Linked DNA regions of Danio rerio. The protein of the gene in region 5 interacts with the protein of the main gene of each other region in a biochemical or structural test. Links are inferred from orthologs where the notes say so. Each region holds a gene or a part of one and is shown on either strand. Other genes may lie near its edges.

The links. The genes of interacting proteins can lie anywhere in the genome.
Region 1: the proteins of ikbkg (region 5) and cyld form a complex in vitro, tested with the Homo sapiens proteins (3 studies listed by BioGRID, with this or other methods). The link is inferred for Danio rerio from reciprocal best matches to the Homo sapiens genes IKBKG and CYLD.
Region 2: the proteins of ikbkg (region 5) and irak1 form a complex in vitro, tested with the Homo sapiens proteins (3 studies listed by BioGRID). The link is inferred for Danio rerio from reciprocal best matches to the Homo sapiens genes IKBKG and IRAK1.
Region 3: the proteins of ikbkg (region 5) and rab11a are reported together in a solved structure, tested with the Homo sapiens proteins (2 studies listed by BioGRID, with this or other methods). The link is inferred for Danio rerio from reciprocal best matches to the Homo sapiens genes IKBKG and RAB11A.
Region 4: the proteins of ikbkg (region 5) and senp2 form a complex in vitro, tested with the Homo sapiens proteins (2 studies listed by BioGRID and IntAct, with this or other methods). The link is inferred for Danio rerio from reciprocal best matches to the Homo sapiens genes IKBKG and SENP2.

Annotation. Positions count from the first base shown.
Region 1 is NC_133182.1:37,753,204-37,756,703, reverse strand, and holds part of cyld (ubiquitin carboxyl-terminal hydrolase CYLD), read left to right. Parts: intron 1-848; 5' UTR 849-987; coding exon 988-1,479; intron 1,480-3,500. UniProt on the Homo sapiens protein: Deubiquitinase that specifically cleaves 'Lys-63'- and linear 'Met-1'-linked polyubiquitin chains and is involved in NF-kappa-B activation and TNF-alpha-induced necroptosis.
Region 2 is NC_133183.1:9,128,930-9,132,429, reverse strand, and holds part of irak1 (interleukin-1 receptor-associated kinase 1), read left to right. Parts: intron 1-1,079; coding exon 1,080-1,260; intron 1,261-2,402; coding exon of another isoform or gene 2,403-2,406; coding exon 2,407-2,480; intron 2,481-2,599; coding exon 2,600-2,676; intron 2,677-3,500.
Region 3 is NC_133193.1:20,520,465-20,524,001, forward strand, and holds the end of rab11a (ras-related protein Rab-11A), read left to right. Parts: intron 1-288; coding exon 289-484; intron 485-958; coding exon 959-1,152; intron 1,153-1,248; coding exon 1,249-1,329; intron 1,330-1,779; coding exon 1,780-1,916; 3' UTR 1,917-3,037; downstream 3,038-3,537. UniProt on the Homo sapiens protein: The small GTPases Rab are key regulators of intracellular membrane trafficking, from the formation of transport vesicles to their fusion with membranes.
Region 4 is NC_133181.1:12,367,035-12,370,534, reverse strand, and holds part of senp2 (sentrin-specific protease 2), read right to left. Parts: coding exon 3,432-3,500; intron 3,351-3,431; coding exon 3,244-3,350; intron 3,161-3,243; coding exon 3,072-3,160; intron 2,958-3,071; coding exon 2,900-2,957; intron 2,814-2,899; coding exon 2,735-2,813; intron 1,719-2,734; coding exon 1,569-1,718; intron 555-1,568; coding exon 423-554; intron 1-422. UniProt on the Homo sapiens protein: Protease that catalyzes two essential functions in the SUMO pathway.
Region 5 is NC_133198.1:21,496,909-21,500,850, forward strand, and holds the start of ikbkg (NF-kappa-B essential modulator), read right to left. Parts: upstream 2,801-3,942; 5' UTR 2,558-2,800; intron 113-2,557; 5' UTR 109-112; coding exon 1-108. UniProt on the Homo sapiens protein: Regulatory subunit of the IKK core complex which phosphorylates inhibitors of NF-kappa-B thus leading to the dissociation of the inhibitor/NF-kappa-B complex and ultimately the degradation of the inhibitor.

The sequences.
Region 1 (3,500 bases), on a different chromosome or scaffold from region 5:
TAATTAAACAATCAATTTTGGGTAACACTTTATTTTGATGGTCCATTTGAGTATTAGTAGACTGTTTGCTTATTGTCTGTTGATACTGCTCCTTTAACAGACATTTAATTGACTATAAGAAACTTTGCAAGTACATGTCAACTTACACTAACCCTAACCCCAACCCAACAGTCTACTTATAATCTAATGAGAATTAGTTGCAATGTAACTTAAATTCAACAAACGGACCATTAAAATATAGTGTTACCTAATTTTGTTCAAGTGGCAAACTTTATAATTTATTGTGACCTAAGGGTTTAAATTGGCTTTAAATCTTAGTCACAGGCCTAAAAACACATCCAAGTAAGTCAATCTTTCACACTGTTAGATTATGGTTAAACTTAACAATGACTCCACAAATCATGTCTTCTGAATTGTGGTTTCTGGTTAATTATGATCCCAACTTGACAGTGCAGATCCTGCGATTGGACCATTGAAGAATCGCAAGTTGCGATATCAAAGCAGAAACGATATATTGTGCAGCCCTAGTATGTAGTGACGCTGATGATTTCCATTATTGTAGATGTTTTTTTCATATAGACCTTTATTTTTTGACAGTAATGGAAACAAAGTTGTTCAGCTGATGAAGCGTCTTTCTATAAAAAAGGAATTTCTTTGAACCTATAAAATCTATGACTGTAAATCTATGCCTTACAGCCTCATTTTTATCCATGCCAAATTGAATGTGTTAAAGTGGGGTTTCAGCGTGACAGACATAAACATTTTATTAGAAATTCTGATCTAAAAAACAGACCCATCTCAAACAAAGCAAGACTAACCTCATTCTAAATGCTTCTTTTTTCTTCCAGTACTTTATGTCTTTTCAGTCCATCCATCCTATTAAAAAGATCATGAAATCTTCCACTTCCTGGTCAAACTGACCACAGACGACCCTCTGAGGTTTATCGTGTGTTCCTGTCATCTTCAACCCACTCCTGCTATGCAGCCATGAGCTCTACGCTATGGAGCCAGGAGAAGCCAGGGGGCAGTTTCCGGGACGATTGGCGTTTCTACATTGTGGTGAAGGAATGCACGGTGGAAAGGCCAGGCCAGAAGACTCTGCGCATCCCACGGGGCAGCCTAGGTCAGGCCTGCCAGGAGCGCAACAGCCTCGGACGCACAATCCCAGCCAGCAAAGGTAAACGTAGCCTACGCATCCTGGACCAGACCAATGTAGTGGTGAGCGTGGATGAACGGGATGTGATGGAGCTCGAGGAGAAGCTGGCGGAGCTACTGTTCCCTATCACCAACTGTGAAGAGCGTTACAGCCTGCTGTGTAACAGGTCGCGTCTGGACAGGGCCCGCGACATCAACTGTGGGTCAAAAGTTCGAGTGCAGCTTAGGTCAGGCGATGAACCTCTCCCAGGCGTTGTCCGCTTTAAAGGAGCTTTGCTGCCTGATCGAGCACTGAGTGGGATCTGGTTTGGTGTCGAACTGCTGGTGAGTGAAACTGTTTGTCATGTTTGATGGTAAATATTTGGGATTGGGCTCACCTTTGATCTTAAAGTGTGTGATCTAGGGCTGGGTGATATTGCAAAAAAAAAATCATAATATCATGTTTCATATCATTCGATATCGATAATTATTGAATATTTTTCAACAATACATTCAGGAATATTCTATTTTTTTATTTAACCACTTTATTATAATTTACCAACATTACCAAGGCAAATAGTTTTAAGCAAAGTGTGTTCAATGGTAAAGGTAGATCAACATCTGTAAGTTGTGAATAATAATGATAGGGTAAACCTCAAACTCTGTAAACAAAACAAATTATGAAAATCAAATCCGAGCTTTCAAGTAAAGAAACTAACCATCATTATTCAAATACATATTGCAACATTTCACATTGTGAAGTTGAATGATCACAATACCCACTATGCTAAAAAAAATCTTTCAGATGGGGAGCTAGTGGCTGGGATGCACAAGAAAAAAAAAAGCCACTTTGGATATATTTTAATTTTCTTTTTTATTTCAATCTCCTCACTGCTGCTATACAGCACTCATTTTCGCATGTGTTGTTATTCTGACCTGAAGTGACAAGCCTGAGAGGATGCTTCACTATTTTCTACGGCGTCTCTCATAACAAGGTGACCATTTTCTCAGAGAATGACAAACAAAGAACATTGCTGCCACTCCAATACAAGTTAAGAAAAATAAACAGCACTGCAGTGTTTGGGTGCGGTGTGTTTGTCTCAGGTAATTAGTCTGCTTTTACTAAAATGTGTATATTTCATCCAAAGTGTGAAGCAGAATGGTTAGTTCTAATCGCGGTGCGCTCACGGCATTCTGAAAAGTTCAGATGTTTTTCAATTAGGTGTACCTGGAAAATGTCTCTCTCCCTGTTAAATTTGATCTAATCCGTGTCCTGAAACACACCTCCTCTCCAGCTTTCACTTCTCATACTGACGGAGGGAACGATTTGTTTGTGAATGAATCTCTGTTATGAACGACTCGTTTACTAGCCGACAATAATACAAGTTTCTGGCATCGCAGCATCTTGTTGTCATATTTCTTTTGCATTGTTTGCTGATTTTATTCAACAAAGCTAGCATAAGCCGAGTATTTAGTGCGAATTGGAGCTACTTTGCCTTATGATGAATGCAATAAGTGACTGTGAAATGTTCTGGCTTTGTGCTTTGTTTTCTTTGTTTGCTCTTTACTACACTCGTAGACAGCGCTAAAGTCCCGCATCTTCACGTAATAATACTGTCTTGTCTAGTGCGGTTGAATGACACTTGTCCTGGGAGCACTGTACCAATGTGGCGGCGCTATAGACGCATGCTCAGGGTCCCTATGCGATATCTAGTGTATATATCTATGTCACAAATTGAGGAGCGGGGAAAGGAGGCGGGGTGGAGCGACAACACGGGGAATCCTTCACAAACTGAGGAGCAATCACAAACCGAAAGCAGCGAGAGTGTCAAAGTAGTCAGAAGTCATTTATTTTTTAATGAGAACCGGCGCCGAGAAACATCAGCGCGTCTTCATTGGCTATGACGCGGTTCGGCGGCAAGCAATCAGAATGAAGTATTCCAACGCTTGAGAGGAGTTCAGAGAACACAGACCTGTGAACTTTGGTTCCCACCACAGTTGTTCCCAAGAGTTTGATTATTGTGGTTCCTGGATTTTCAATTATTGAAAATCGCAACGACGTGGGGCCTCCTAATCACGCGGGGCCCTCCTGCGGGCCCGTCCGCTACGCCACTGCATGAATCAGATATGGGTCACAATTTAAAGAATGTGTAAATGGACAGGCAAAAAAATCAGATATAGACAACAAATTAGAATTTGGCATCAAGACCTGACAGTGTAAACGTGGCCTTGGATTGGGAGATTCTGTAGAGCATAACATATAATAAACAATCCGCAAGCTTTCATAAATACAATAAAGAAAGAGATACAGCTGAAATTAGCAGTATTTTATTGTTTCCGAGTACTCAAACAATATTTAGGTACAG
Region 2 (3,500 bases), on a different chromosome or scaffold from region 5:
TGATGAAAAAGCTTTGTTATGGATGTGACATCTCTCTGTTATGGATATGACAGATGTAAAATTGCCACTTGTGTGACTTTGGTAAATCAAATATAATAGTTTGAAAACACTGATAGATACATTAACCAGAAACAGTTTCGCTATTTTGGCGAAAACGTAATTTTTTTCATGGCAAGGTTGACATTTGCATGGAATTGCTCATTACCTGTTTATTTTAGTATGATCATTACATATTAAAGTGTTTAAAAAAGGTTGCTGATAAAATAGCATATTGCAAGTTAGTTATATCTTTAAAAAAAATGTTAGCACTCAACAACATTGTAAATTTTTCCATTATTGTGCAGCCATACCGGCAACAAATGTGAAATATTATAGCATATCATTTAACAAACCTTTTCAGTTACTACCAATTCGATGTCATTTTGCTCACATGGCTAGAATATGAATCATTTATTCATTCATTCATTCATTTCCTTCGGCTTAGTCCATTTATTCATCAGGGGTTGCCACAGTGGAATGAAACGCCAACTTCTCTACCATATGTTCTACACAGCGGATGCCCTTCCAGCCATAACCCAGCACTGGGAAACACCCATACACTCTCACATTCACACTCGCACACTATGGCCAATTTAGTTTATTTATTTATGCAGGTCTTTTAACTGTGAGGGAAACTGGAGCACCCAGAGGAAACCCACGCGAACATGGGGAGAACATGCAAACTCCACTCCGAAATGCCAACTGATCCAGCCAGAACTCGAACCAGTGACCTTCTTGCTGTGAGGCGACAGTGCTACCACTGAGCCACCATGACACCCGTTATATTAATCAGATGATGTCCTTTCACAGCTGTCTTGCTGCCAGTCAATCGTTGTTTTGTTGATCATGATTTTGAGGATAAATAATAAATGAAGTCCTTCACAACAAGAACGCAGTAATCTCAGATCAGTTCATCCAGATATTTTAATCTGAACTTGTTTGAAGAACTAAATTAGCTATTCAGTTTTGGATAGAATTCCCATTCAATTTCATAACACTCTCATTTTGCTTGCCAATTAAAGTATTTTATGTCCTTGCAGCTTCACAAATCATATCAGATCAGACTGAACTACGCCTTTTGGAGCAAAGCCCTCGACGGACGAGTAACCTCATGCACAATTGGGGTTGTCGCAATGGGACAGTTGGAGCACTGCTGAAGATTCTTGAGGGACTCCAGTGGTTCAGAGCTCGTGATATCATTCTCAAAGCACAACTATGTAGGTTTTTTTTCTTCTTCCTTTTTTTGATTTTTTTACCACATCTATGTGCCAAGCAGGTTATCAGTTGGGTTTTGTGGTTATCACGTTACTCGCTTTATAATCTAAAGTTTCACATTCCATGGTTCAAGAAAGAACTATGCTGTCAGTCAGATGTGAAATTTCTCAGTTGTGCTTATATTTCCCACGTTCTTATTTGGTTTACTTGTTTACTGCTTGTGATCCGTCAATGTATATTTTAAAACCTGTTTGTTGTTAACTTTCATCAAAATGAATTGACTTGTTCTGCCTGTAAATCTGAACTCAAATCTGTAGAAAGGCATTTCAGCAATCAATACTGATACCTATATTATGAAAATAAATATACTAACAGTATATGTATTTATACACTGGCTTGTCACATCAATTAAAAAAATGTAGATTTTTAAATCCATATTCACTGATTAAAAAAAAATTAAACAAATAACACATTCATTGACTTTATATGTTGGAGCATAAATTATTCTACAAACTTGACTTACTGGCATCATTTGCTAGATATTCATGTTATTGGGTTATCTGTCTATCATGAATGATTGTAGATAATTTTTGTCTTAAAATATATGTATAAAAAATGTATAATATAATATATATATATATAATGTAATGTAAATATATATCTCTGATCTTACAAAAAATATGAAACAATAAAACTTAATATATTTATTTATTAATAATATTTAATACTTTTATATTTATTTACTTATCTCATGATTTATTGTTCAATAATAAATCATACATGATAAATAATATTTATATAGTATATATTTATATAGTATGTAGTATATAGTATTTATATAGTAATAAAATACTTATTAATATTAATGTTAAAAACAAATCTTGTATTTTATGGAAAACATGATTAAAAAAAAAAAAAAAAAATATATATATATATATATATATATATATATATATATATATATATATATATATATATATATATATATATATATATATATATATATTACAACGTTAGTTTGAAATAAAAAATGTTGGCATAGAAAATATGCTTTTATTGTACTTGTGTTATGATTTGTACAAGCACTGCCTGTCAATAGTTTCAGATAATAAATCCATCAATGCTCTTTTTTTTATGCATGTGCACAGGTAGACAATTTCCACAGAATCATAAAGAGCAACAACCCAGTACAGTCACATTTATCAAAGAGCATCTCCCTGTCCCCGGTAACATGTTATTCTTACTACAGTCCTTATGTTAACATAAAACATGACTTTGATTATTACCTAACAGTTGCTCACTTATCATAACATCTGTGCTAAAAGTGGCTCTTTTATGTTTCCAGAGATCAGGCCTTTACCCAGGCCTAGCCCTCCACCACCTGACTCCGTGAGCTCAACAATCTCAAAAACAACTGAAGAGGTATTTTGTTTGATTAAGATAAAGAATGAAGGTGAAGGGCACAAAACTGTTAACTAATTCTCACCATACATCCTGAGTTGAATGATTATAGTAAGAATAGCTTCATAAAATGTTGTTTAAATGTTCAAACAAGGTGTAATTTAATTAAATATGTGCTAATTTGCATAGATTTCTAGCTTAAAAGTCTGAACATTGAATGAAGTCAAGTTCAGAATTCTTGTGTATATTTTTTTGTTCTATACACTACCTGATAAAAGTCTTGTCATCGATCCCAGTTGTAAGTGCAACAAATAATAACTTGACTTCTAGTTTATCATTTGGAAAAGTGGCAGAAGGTAGATTTTTTTTTTCTATAAATCATCTGTTGAACTGAATTCCAGTCATCACAAATACTGCAGAAGACCTATTGGAACCCACATGGACCCAAGATTCTCACAGAAATCAGTCAAGTTTGGTGAAGGAAAAATCATAGTTTGGGGTTACATTCAGTATGGAGGTGTGCGTGAGTTCTGTATAATGGATGGCAACATTTCAAGACATTTGTGCTGCCCATTACATTACAAACCACAGGAAAGGGCAAATTCTTCAACAGGATAGCGCTCCTTCTCATACTTCAGCCTCCACATCAAAGTTCCTGAAAGCAAAGGTCAAGGTGCTCAAGTATTGGCCAGCCCAGTCACCAGACATGAACATTATTGAGCATGTCTGGGGTTAGATGAAGGAGGCGGCACTGAAGATGAATCCAAAGATTCTTGATGAACTCTGGGAGTCCTGCAAGAACGCTTTCTTTGTCATTCCAGATAACTTAAGTAATATGTTATTAG
Region 3 (3,537 bases), on a different chromosome or scaffold from region 5:
TTATTGCTTTCATATATATTTGGGAGTCACGACCAAAACAACAAAGGATTCAAAGAAAAATATACTTTTTAGAAATTTTATTGAGCAGTAATTTAGAATATTGATTTTCATTGCTGACTTTATTGTTTAATGTTTTTTTATGTTTTAGTATTTTCTTCATCACAGAATCGTTTATTTAATCAGTGTAGTAGTTTGGAAAGACACAAGGCTTGAGTAAATAATGTGAGAAGCCTAATTTGTTATGTGATCTATGTCAGATATTACACCATGTTGTGTTTTATTTTGAAGTGGTCCTAATTGGAGACTCTGGTGTGGGGAAGAGTAACCTGCTGTCTCGTTTCACTCGCAATGAATTCAACCTCGAGAGCAAAAGCACTATTGGAGTGGAGTTCGCCACACGTAGCATTCAGGTGGATGGAAAGACCGTCAAGGCTCAGATCTGGGACACGGCAGGACAGGAGCGCTACCGAGCCATCACTTCAGCGTAAGACTTATTACAGATTCCAGTTTTAAAGTTTAACTGCCTGTTCATAGCAAAGATCTCTATAGAAGTTATTTTAATCTTGTGATATTCCTCCAAAACACAACTTAAACACAATGGCAAAGACAAACAATATTGTACACTGATATAGTTAAGCATATTTGAGACTATAGATTAATTAACACCTTTTTTTTTGACGTTACTGTGCAGAATGACACTTGTGCATTATCGTTGTGTAAGCATTTATTTCATGCATCATAAAACAGAAAAAAGAGGCTCTGGAGGGTACATCTTTGAGTTTTTGAGCAAAAATGTTTAAAATCCTTTACATAAAAAGCAGTTAACAGGCTTAACCCTAGGAATACTGGTGAGGCCAATTTTTTTAAGGTACATTAATTAATATGTTATTCATACTCCAAACAAAATTCATATATAGCCCTTTTATTTTCCATCTTCATTTGATTTGCTGGCTAACAGGTATTACCGTGGAGCTGTGGGGGCCCTCCTAGTGTATGACATCGCCAAGCATCTGACCTATGAGAATGTGGAACGCTGGCTTAAGGAGCTCCGAGACCACGCAGACAGCAACATTGTCATCATGCTGGTGGGCAATAAAAGTGACTTGCGTCACCTTCGGGCTGTGCCCACTGACGAAGCACGTGCATTTGCAGGTTAGAGGTGAACCATTAACTTCTGATAGTGCTGCTTGTGTGTATTGCTGAGGCATTAATCCATACTCTTCCACTTTTTTGCAACCATATTTGCAGAGAAAAACGGTCTGTCCTTCCTAGAGACCTCAGCTTTGGATTCCACCAATGTAGAGACTGCTTTTCAGACCATCCTGACTGGTGAGTGTTCTTTCCAAAAACCTTTTTCAGCAGATACTTATCAGTGTGCAAGGTTAAGGATGGTAAACTTTTGTTTTTGTAATGGCAGCATTTTTCTTGAAGAAATACAGGCTTGAGGAAATGACTGTGTTAGTCTAAACTGGGAGAAAAAGAGATGGTAAATGATTGGCCGAAGGCCATATCCTTATGAATGACTCATCAAAAGCCCTGCCTTGGTCGGGTAGGTTTCTCTGGCCTGACGTGACTGCCATAGAGAGTTTCTGTCGTCTTTTGCTCCTCTGTTCAGCTCCTGGCATCTGCAGAGGAAGAACAAATAATAAATGTTTCAGAGGCATTGCTGTCAGTTGCGATGCTGTAATTGCATCGGCCCTGACATCCAGTAATAACAGCACGGATGTATGGCAAAACAAAGTTCATATACAAGTTTTTGATTGTCTTTCTGTCCTGCAGAAATCTACCGAATCGTATCCCAAAAGCAGATGTCTGACCGCCGAGACAATGACATGTCACCTAGCAACAATGTGGTGTCCATCCAGGTGCAACCTACTGAGAATAAACCAAAGATGCAGTGCTGCCAGAGCATCTAGCGACTCCTGTACCGAATCCACCCCCCCCCCCCCCAAATCCCCCACACGCCCACCTGCAACACCCCCTCCTCCCCTCCTCTTCAAGACTGCTTTGGGTCTGAGATGCAGCTGCACAACTAGGCTTGAGCACAGAGGCCGGTTCCAAAGCTGAGTCTCAAAGGGTCACCACCTGCAGTCTGGACTAAGCTTGTTGTTTTTTTTGGTTGTTTTTTTTTTTCGGTTGGTTTTCTCCTTCCTGCCATGGTAGGCTTTTATATTGCAGAATTTTAATAATCATTTGTGCCGATCTTCACTGAAATGTCTTAATATATAATTTCATTCGCAAACGTGTGAGGTTCACTCATGTATGTCTTTAGTAGCAGCCCCCTCGTCACTGTCGTGTCTGGGGTGGAGGGGAGAAACGTGCAGTATTGGAGGTTTTGCTATATTTAATGTTGTGATTGTAGAAAGATGATGTACCTGATAGATGTTAGATGATGATTAGGGCCCAAAGACCACAGTCTTCACCTTTTTTGTCCATCTTCCAAGTATGGTTTACATTCGCATTCCCACTTCCTTCATGCATTCGGCACGGGGCGGCATTGAATTTCACCATCAGGCACGTAGCTTCTGCGCTCTTTTCTCTTGGCCATCATGTGCTTCTTTTGCATTGAGGTAGATTAGTGGTTTTAGTGCCTTTTTTGATGAACGTCACGTGCGGATGCTTTCATGCATGTGCTTTACTGCTGTCCGTGCCGGTGCTGCGAGGCCTTCATCACACGCTCGAATATAGTCTTATAGACCTTCTCTTTCGCTGTCACCAGCCCTTTCAGCTGTAGTCTTGGAGAAGCTTCAGTTTCTAATAAACAAAAACTGATGTCATAATTCATGAAGAGGGGAATGTTGTATTTGAAACACTACCACAAATGTTTTCAGTGTGAAATGAGGGAAAAGAGACTTCCTCTACATGTAACATGTTCATAACCGCAAACACGTCATGATTTTGCAGGTCACACTCTGGCATTAAAGTCATGGTTCACCTAAAAATTGAAATTCTGCTGTTTGTTTACTGACTATATTTCAGCAGTAGAATGTCAGAACAGATCTTTTTTAAGTGGAAACTACAGCTTAGTCTTTTAAAAGAACAAAATAAATACCTTTGGCTCCTGATTTCCTGAGCAAACTAAATGTCGAGTGAAAGTATGATCCACCAAAACAAAGGTTTCAGCTAAAAATCTACTTTAATTATCTACCAAAGGTAAAAAGTCAGGTAAATCAGCAGCGAATGTTCAGTTTTAGTTGAACTATCCTTGAGAGTCAGAACAAGAAAACACAAAACAGCGGCCAGTCGATGGCCACATCACATGAGAGCACTCTAGGGAATAGACTGGATACTTTCTTTCTTTATTTTTTTGCACTGAATGTAAAATATATCCCGATTAGATTTTTTTTCCCTCCCGCCACTACAGTAGTAATGACCTTAAGACGTGTAACTTATATTTATTCTGTGGTAGTCATTTAAATCCAGTTGTTAGCCTTCAATCTGGAAGCGATGGGACTCGTTAAGATCATTTCTGAATGTATTATGTGTTTTAGCCTACACTATGTCTTCGTCTTGATTCCAGCAGATGGGGCAAAACCA
Region 4 (3,500 bases), on a different chromosome or scaffold from region 5:
TTGATATGATGACAGTACATAATATTTTACTAGACATTTCTCAAGATTAGTATTCACCTTAAAGTGACATTAAAAGGCTTAACTAGGTTAGATTTAGGCAAGTCAGGTTAATTATGCAAATCATTGTATTAGGATGGTTTGTTCTGTAACAATCAAAAATTAATAATGCTTAAGGAGGCTAATAATGCTGACCTTAATTGTTTTTTTGGTTTTTTTTATTAAAAACTGCTTTTATTCTAGCTGAAAAAAAAAGACTTTCTCTAGAAAAAAAAGATCTTAAAGGAAATACTGTGAAAAATTTCTTGCTCTGTTAAACATCATTTGGGAAATAATTAATAATGAAATGAAATTTTAACTTTATGCAGTAAATAACTGTACTGACATTTTGTGTTGTTCGAATAAAACCCTTAAAATGACATTACCTCATCATTGAGCCAGCTGCCCTCTTGTAGTGTTGCCAGATCTCTCTGTGTGATACGCAGTTTGAAAGCACTGCACAAAACCAGGTTTGGATCACTCTGAGCAAGAGCAGCACTCACTTCCTGCTGCATCTCCTGTTACAGGACACAAAGAGAACACTGTGACTCAAACCACAAGGAAAACAACCAAGCTGACAACTAATGCATGAGTGAAAACAAATACACTGTATTACAACAACAATAACAACAAAAAAGGTTTACATTACAATATTTCTCTTGTTAAGGAGTTCGCTTTAGTGATATCAACGTTTAATTAAATCATTAGTTTATCAAGAGTATTTTCATAGAAAAAATTATTTGTAAAATTCTTCGAAATTAAGGGCGCACTCACACTAGGTTAACCGAAACATTCCCGGGCACGTTTCCCGGTTTGATTGAAAAGTTTGAGTGCTCTGAATCGGGCCCAGGTGCAGTTCAGTTGGCTGGCTGTGGCCTGGTTAAAGGAGGTGTGCCAGAGCGTGGTTCAGTTGTGCTCAGGCACGGTAGGCTTGTAGTGTGAGCGTAAAACTGAAGACACAACTTCACTTTTCATATGGATTTATTAATCATTCTTACTTTTCAATGAACGCAAACTGTCCTAGTTTCTCAAAGATGCAAACCCCTCTTGCTGCACCTTCAGGAAACCTCTTAATACATGATGCACGAGGAAATTTATGCTAATTTATGAGCGTCAAAAGTGGTGAATCTGTTCTGCATTATATAACTAAAGCAATGTCCACTGTGCTGAGCGAGAGCGCTTTCATTCCTGTTAAACTGAACAGTCGTATCATCGATGTTGTAAGCGTGCTCCGGCTTGAAATGTAATGCAGTGTGAGTGCAGGCAGTCATGACTTTTGACAGTAAAAGTCATGACTTTTCAGTGTCAATGCAACTGCTTATATCTGTAATAAGTGGATGTGATTAAAAAAAAAAATTTAAAATGAGCACAAAACAGCCCAATTTGAATTTTTAGCAATTAAAGTTTAGAGCAACAGGTTTGAAATATTTTCCAGTAATAAAAAAATGTTTTCATGCAAGTATCTTGAAAATAAAAGTAGAATTAACCCACTAAAACATCAATCTGAGAGAGACTGAGGTGACCGTAACAACCTTGGTCAGTCTGGGAAACTCCTCTTCACCACGCCTCACTGCATCTGTAATCACTTCAGATCTGGAAGGTATCAGAAGTCCAACAGCAGAATCCTTGTCCTTCAGATTTAACCTGGCTTCAACCTCAGCTGACAGATCAACATCTACAGCCTGAAGAGAAGGTGAGAAAGAAGGTGTTAGAGGGAGAAAAAGACACTACAAGGAGCCATTATTGCATTATGTTGCTTTAAAATGTGGTCAAAATACAGCTACACTAGGCCTGTCACGATACCTATTTTTTGTCGAATGATACATTGCACCAAAATATATCGCGATAAACAATATTAATGTAATTTTAAGACATTTTTGCAGCTCGTTATACAATGCCAAAATGACAATATAATAGCATCATTACGCAAGAATACTCTCCCAAAGAATACATCATATTTTATTCCTAAAAATATTTTAATTAGTCATTTTAACAATTTAATAATTAGGCATTGGAATCAGAATGTAAAAACGCATAATCCTAAATAATCAATAATAAAAAGTGCAAGGTAAAAAGTACCAGATGCTGCGATCAATTGTCAGACACCCACATGAAAATGAACTAAAGTCATTTACAGTAAATACTATACTGTTTTTTTTAACCACACTGACACCTCCAATAGATATAGAGATCATGTCCATGTGTTGTGCGATAACTTGATGTATTGATTATTGTGACAGGCCTAAGATACACAGAAAACAATAAATAATTTAAAAAAGAAAATTACGTTATTATTAGTCTGCAAAATAATAATTTCAGTCAGTGTAAAGCAGAAGATGCTGAGACTTCATTTCAGTATGTACTTCCAACTGTAACAAAATATTGAGTAGGGGGTGGGGCTTTCATTTTGCACATCACTCCCTCATAGCAAACTAATGGTAAAAGGGGTGTGGTTAAGGATATTAATATACAGTTGCTATGGAAACCCTCCTACTGACCTCAACAGAAGGATCACCACTCCAAAGGTAAGAGCAAATGGTCAAACTTTGATTGATTTAATAAAACTAACTTTTTTTCAGTAGATTAACTTGCACAGATTAATTGTTCACTTTAAGAGTAACAAACGTGAGCTAGCAAAATAAACATTGTACATTTTGATTTCACATGACACTTTACAGCACATGAAGCAAGCACTTACGGTTTTTCGTGTAGTTTGATTATCCAAGGCTCCTTCCTTGACATCACTTCCTGTTGTGCTTCGATGACCATCCACTGTTCTGTCACAGTTGAAAAATAAACAGAAATGAATCTTTCTGCATTCAGCAAACGCATATAAGGATTATGTGGCATGTTGAAGTATTACCTGTCTTTAATCTGCGTCAGGGATAGTGGATCCCGCCACATAGAAATGTTAGGGATGACTTAAGGCAATTAGGCAAACAGAAAATGTAAGTATAATGGAACTCTTCATCAAACACTTATGAAAAAATGTGAAGTTCTAATAACAGTGAAGATTAATTTAAATAAACTCTCACCTCTTACTGGCGCAGGTCTGTTCAAGTCAGTAGTGCGACAGATGGAGGTGTGTCCACTGACCTTGTGTCCATCAATGGGGAAAGCGGTGCTAAAAGATTTGATTGAAAACAGTGTTAACTTGCACCAGCTAAGCTGTGGTGATTTAAAAACATATATAATTTATGTGCTTACATGGAAGGCTTTATCCGTCCAAACGGCAATGGTTTGCTCTTTGAATATTTTTCAGATGCCATCTCCACTAGCTTCCTATAATGCTCTCGATCACTCTCTCTCAATGCCTAATCAAAAGAAAGATGCTCAGGAAGCCATGTATTTAAAAAAAGGTACTAAGTTACAACATTACAACTCAGTTTGCTAACCTCCTCCACGGTCAGGCAAGGTTTGGGTGTGCGGCTTGGGAGCTCCATCTCAGCCTGTCTTGAATTTAG
Region 5 (3,942 bases):
GCCCTGTGAACTGGCCATGAGTGAGACTTGACCTTCTGAACCTGCGGTCTCTTCTCCGTTCAACTCATATTGCAGAGTGCAGCCACCGGACGGCTGCGGCTGGACCATGATCCTGACAGACACAACAAAAGACCGCATTGATCATCTACAGCTCTTAATCACCAAGACTACTGCAGTGCTTTAAGATTCTTGGATGAAAATATTCAGATAAATTTAGAATAATTTCTGCGGTGGATAAATAATAATGGTGATAACACTTTACAATCAGGGTCCCATTTGTTCATGCTTTAACTAGCAATGAGTAATACGTTTATTATTACTATTTAGGAATCATTGTAAAAATAGTTTTAAAAAGTTTTCTGAAAAGAAATTAATGGTGTACGCATTTCAATTGTGTATTTCAAATCATTGAAAACATGTAGTACACTTTATATCAATTATGACCTGTATTTGTGACTTTTGCAATTGAATTCATAAATATTTGTTATCTCTGTTTGGTCTAAAAATTTTACATTGCTTGCACGTAAACACAAAACTAAAACAAACAAGTAAATTGAAAAAGAAAAACTTGCTGCCTTAACTGTTTAAATGAAAATTAAATGAACTTTTGTAGTCATCTTAACTAAATTAAACTTAAATTAAAATCAATTAAACTGACTAAAATGTATAAAAATAAACTTTGTATAAGTTACAATATAATTGAAAGCTGACTAACTAATTAAAATAAAAGCAACATAAAAATATATGTTGCCTTGACTTTGTTATTACATTTTTTACAGTGTAAGCAGGCTAAACTTAACAGCTTAAATACAATCAATAAAACTAAAATGGAAACAAAACTCCATATATTAAAATGACATATGCACCACAAAATTATTTTATAATAACTTTACATTTAAAGTTCTATTAACTTATTTAAATTGTTAATAAAATAACAATTGTAAAACATACTAAAGTTGAATAATTATACAACTTGTAATGTTATTAAAATAGTTAATAGAATTAGTTAGAATATTAAGACAGTTAGCTCGAATCCATTGAATAATATTAAAGTGACATTTCACCCAAACCATTTCTTCACCCTCAAGTGTTTCTAAACTTTTATTAAAAACATTGACATTCCTAGTAGAAAAAGTGAAAGTATGTCAATGGCTGCTTTTCCCAGCATTCTTCAGTATATCAAACTCAAACAGATGTGAAACAAGTAGAGGGCGAGTAAGTAAATGTTTACAAAATGTTCATTTTTAAGTGAACTACCTTGATTTCACTAATTTATGTGTAAATGTTTTATAAATAAAGCCTAAAATTTCATTTAAAAAAATTCAGTTCTGCACAGGAAGTTTGGGCAGAAAAGAAATGGTTGTGCCCAACTAAGCCTGGTTTCTCTAAAGGATTTTTTATTTTTTTCATTCACTTAATTTATTTAGTAAAGTTTTGTTCCTCGTCATTGCTGCCACTGGCTTGCTTGGTTTGGGACTTGTGGAGCTGCGCATCAAAGGATTAGCTCTTCAGTGTTTGGACTTTCAGCCATGAAATTTAAACCACACCGAACTAAACTGAACCAACTCAGAAGACTGGACTGACAGTTTCCATTTACTAGAACTGCTATGTTAAACTACTTTGACACAATCTACATAGTAAACGCGCTATAGAAATTAATTGAATTGTATTCAGAGTAAGCTCATGTTATCTAATCCTAACAAATGGAACCATATTGTAAAATGTTACCAGTAACCACATTTTGACAATATGTAAATGATAATACCTGTACCTGTTCATGTTACTAGCTTTAACATGTAAAGCTATATCATTTTATACATGTCTCACGTTCAATTCTGCTTTTACTGTTTCACTTTTCAACAAGACACAGATAACTTATGAGTCATTCAATGACACTTTCGCCATATTAACGACCTCTAAAACATTTGAAAAGAAATATCAAATATCAAAGTTGAAAACAAAGTCGATGTCATGATATCTCGCTGTCAAAACAAAGATTATTTCACAAGTTAAAGACAAACGCGCGAGGTTTAAAAGACTGAGGTAAATTTGCACATTCATTCACTGATAACTTGTAACACTGTCCCCATATTGTTTACCACGCTACTTTGAATATTAAGTCTGAAATAGCATGTTAGTATGATTTAAAAACAACATTAACAGTTAGCACTATGTCATTGACTGTGTACAATGTTGTACTATGATCATCTTTGTCTACTTATTATGATTTTCCCTATTTAGAATTCGCAAAGAATACTTTTCTGAAATTATATTATTAAAGAGAAAGAACGAATATAAAAACAATTTTACCTCAATCCTCAAAGACACTTTAAGTCCAATACTGTGATTGAAATTAGCAGTTATCCGATATACGAGACTCGGTTTTGTTTTGTTTACAGGCTCGTGATGGACGCGCTCAGCTAACAACACAACTAGCTTTACCGCATTTAAACCAATAAACATTTAAAATCACACACTAACACGACTCACATTCATTACATACACATGAAGACATTGATAAACATATCGTATGATAAAATATGAGAGTAATCACTACCTTCTTTACGCCGTTAACAGTGTTTTGACTCTGCGCTAGCACAGATTCACTGTCTGTCGGTCTTCCGCCGAGGAAACACAGGCAGGTTTAAAGTCAGCCACGGACGCTCAGGTAGGCCAACATCTTCAACACCACCGAGCTGGAAAGTCTGAATCGAGAATTCGAGATTGATAAAGTATATCAAATGAAAACGTCTAGAAGAGTTCAGACAGGTGCCCACACTGTCGAGGAAATCCCCCGTGTACTTCCGCGCTGCGTGCTGTTTCCGGGTAGGGGAATTATGGGAAGACAAAAATGACAGCAAATAAGTTAGTCAAAATGAAGTTATTGAGCGATGCCTTCTTAAAATTAGGATTTAACTGTTTTCATGTCTTCAGGATATCCATATACGCTTACTTTTCTGAAAACCCATATGTTAATATATTTCACTTTTGGAAACCTTTATGTAGTTTTTTTTTTTTTTTTGCAAAAAAACAGTTGACAACTTTGTAGCAATATTTGTTTACAATACAGAATATGAATTACATTGTCAATGAAAAAGAGATACGAGAGAGTAAGAGAGAAGAAAAAAGAATAAAGAACATGATATAAACTTGAGGGTAAGACATTTAAGAAGCAATAACAGAACATAAATTAAAGTCATTACGAATTGAAATAGTTCTGTTTGTTTTTTTATTTTTAGAAAATTAAAATAAATGTATATAATGACTAAATTTTGCAAAAAAAAAAAGGAAAATATGGTTTAGTATTAGTAAATTAGCATTTGTGGATATGGAATTTACAAAGAAAATAAATTAAATTTATAACAAAACAAGCATTTCTCTTAGTAGAGGCAGATTCATAACAAAAAATAATTTCTTTAAAAGTAACAGAAACATTGTATTGTATATTATCATTAATAAATGAGCCAATATGTTCCCAAAATTGTAAAGCATAATTACACTCCCAAAATAAATGAAAAACTGTTTCTGTATAAAATTGACAAAATGAACATTTTACATCAATATTAGCATGAAACTTTTTCAAAAATAGTTTTATGGGATAAAATTTGTTGATCAATTTAAAAAAATTGTTGATTCAATTTATTTATCTTCATTGACCTTGTTGGTGAGAAAATATTTTTGATTAAGCTTTATGTAGGGTTGGGGATGTTTTCATCCACTTGTAAGGTCCAGCCAGTTGGTTCAATGACGGTATCCAATGGTGGATGAAGGTTCACTGCATGTTCGGTCTTTCCAGTGCACAATGTTGATTTATATTAAACTTAACTCATATCTGACTCCAATTTTAATATGAGGTGGTTTAGAATATTAATATATTTATCCTCGTTTTATCTGACTCCAATTATAAAACATTAAGAAGATTATGTCAATATGTAATTTAGA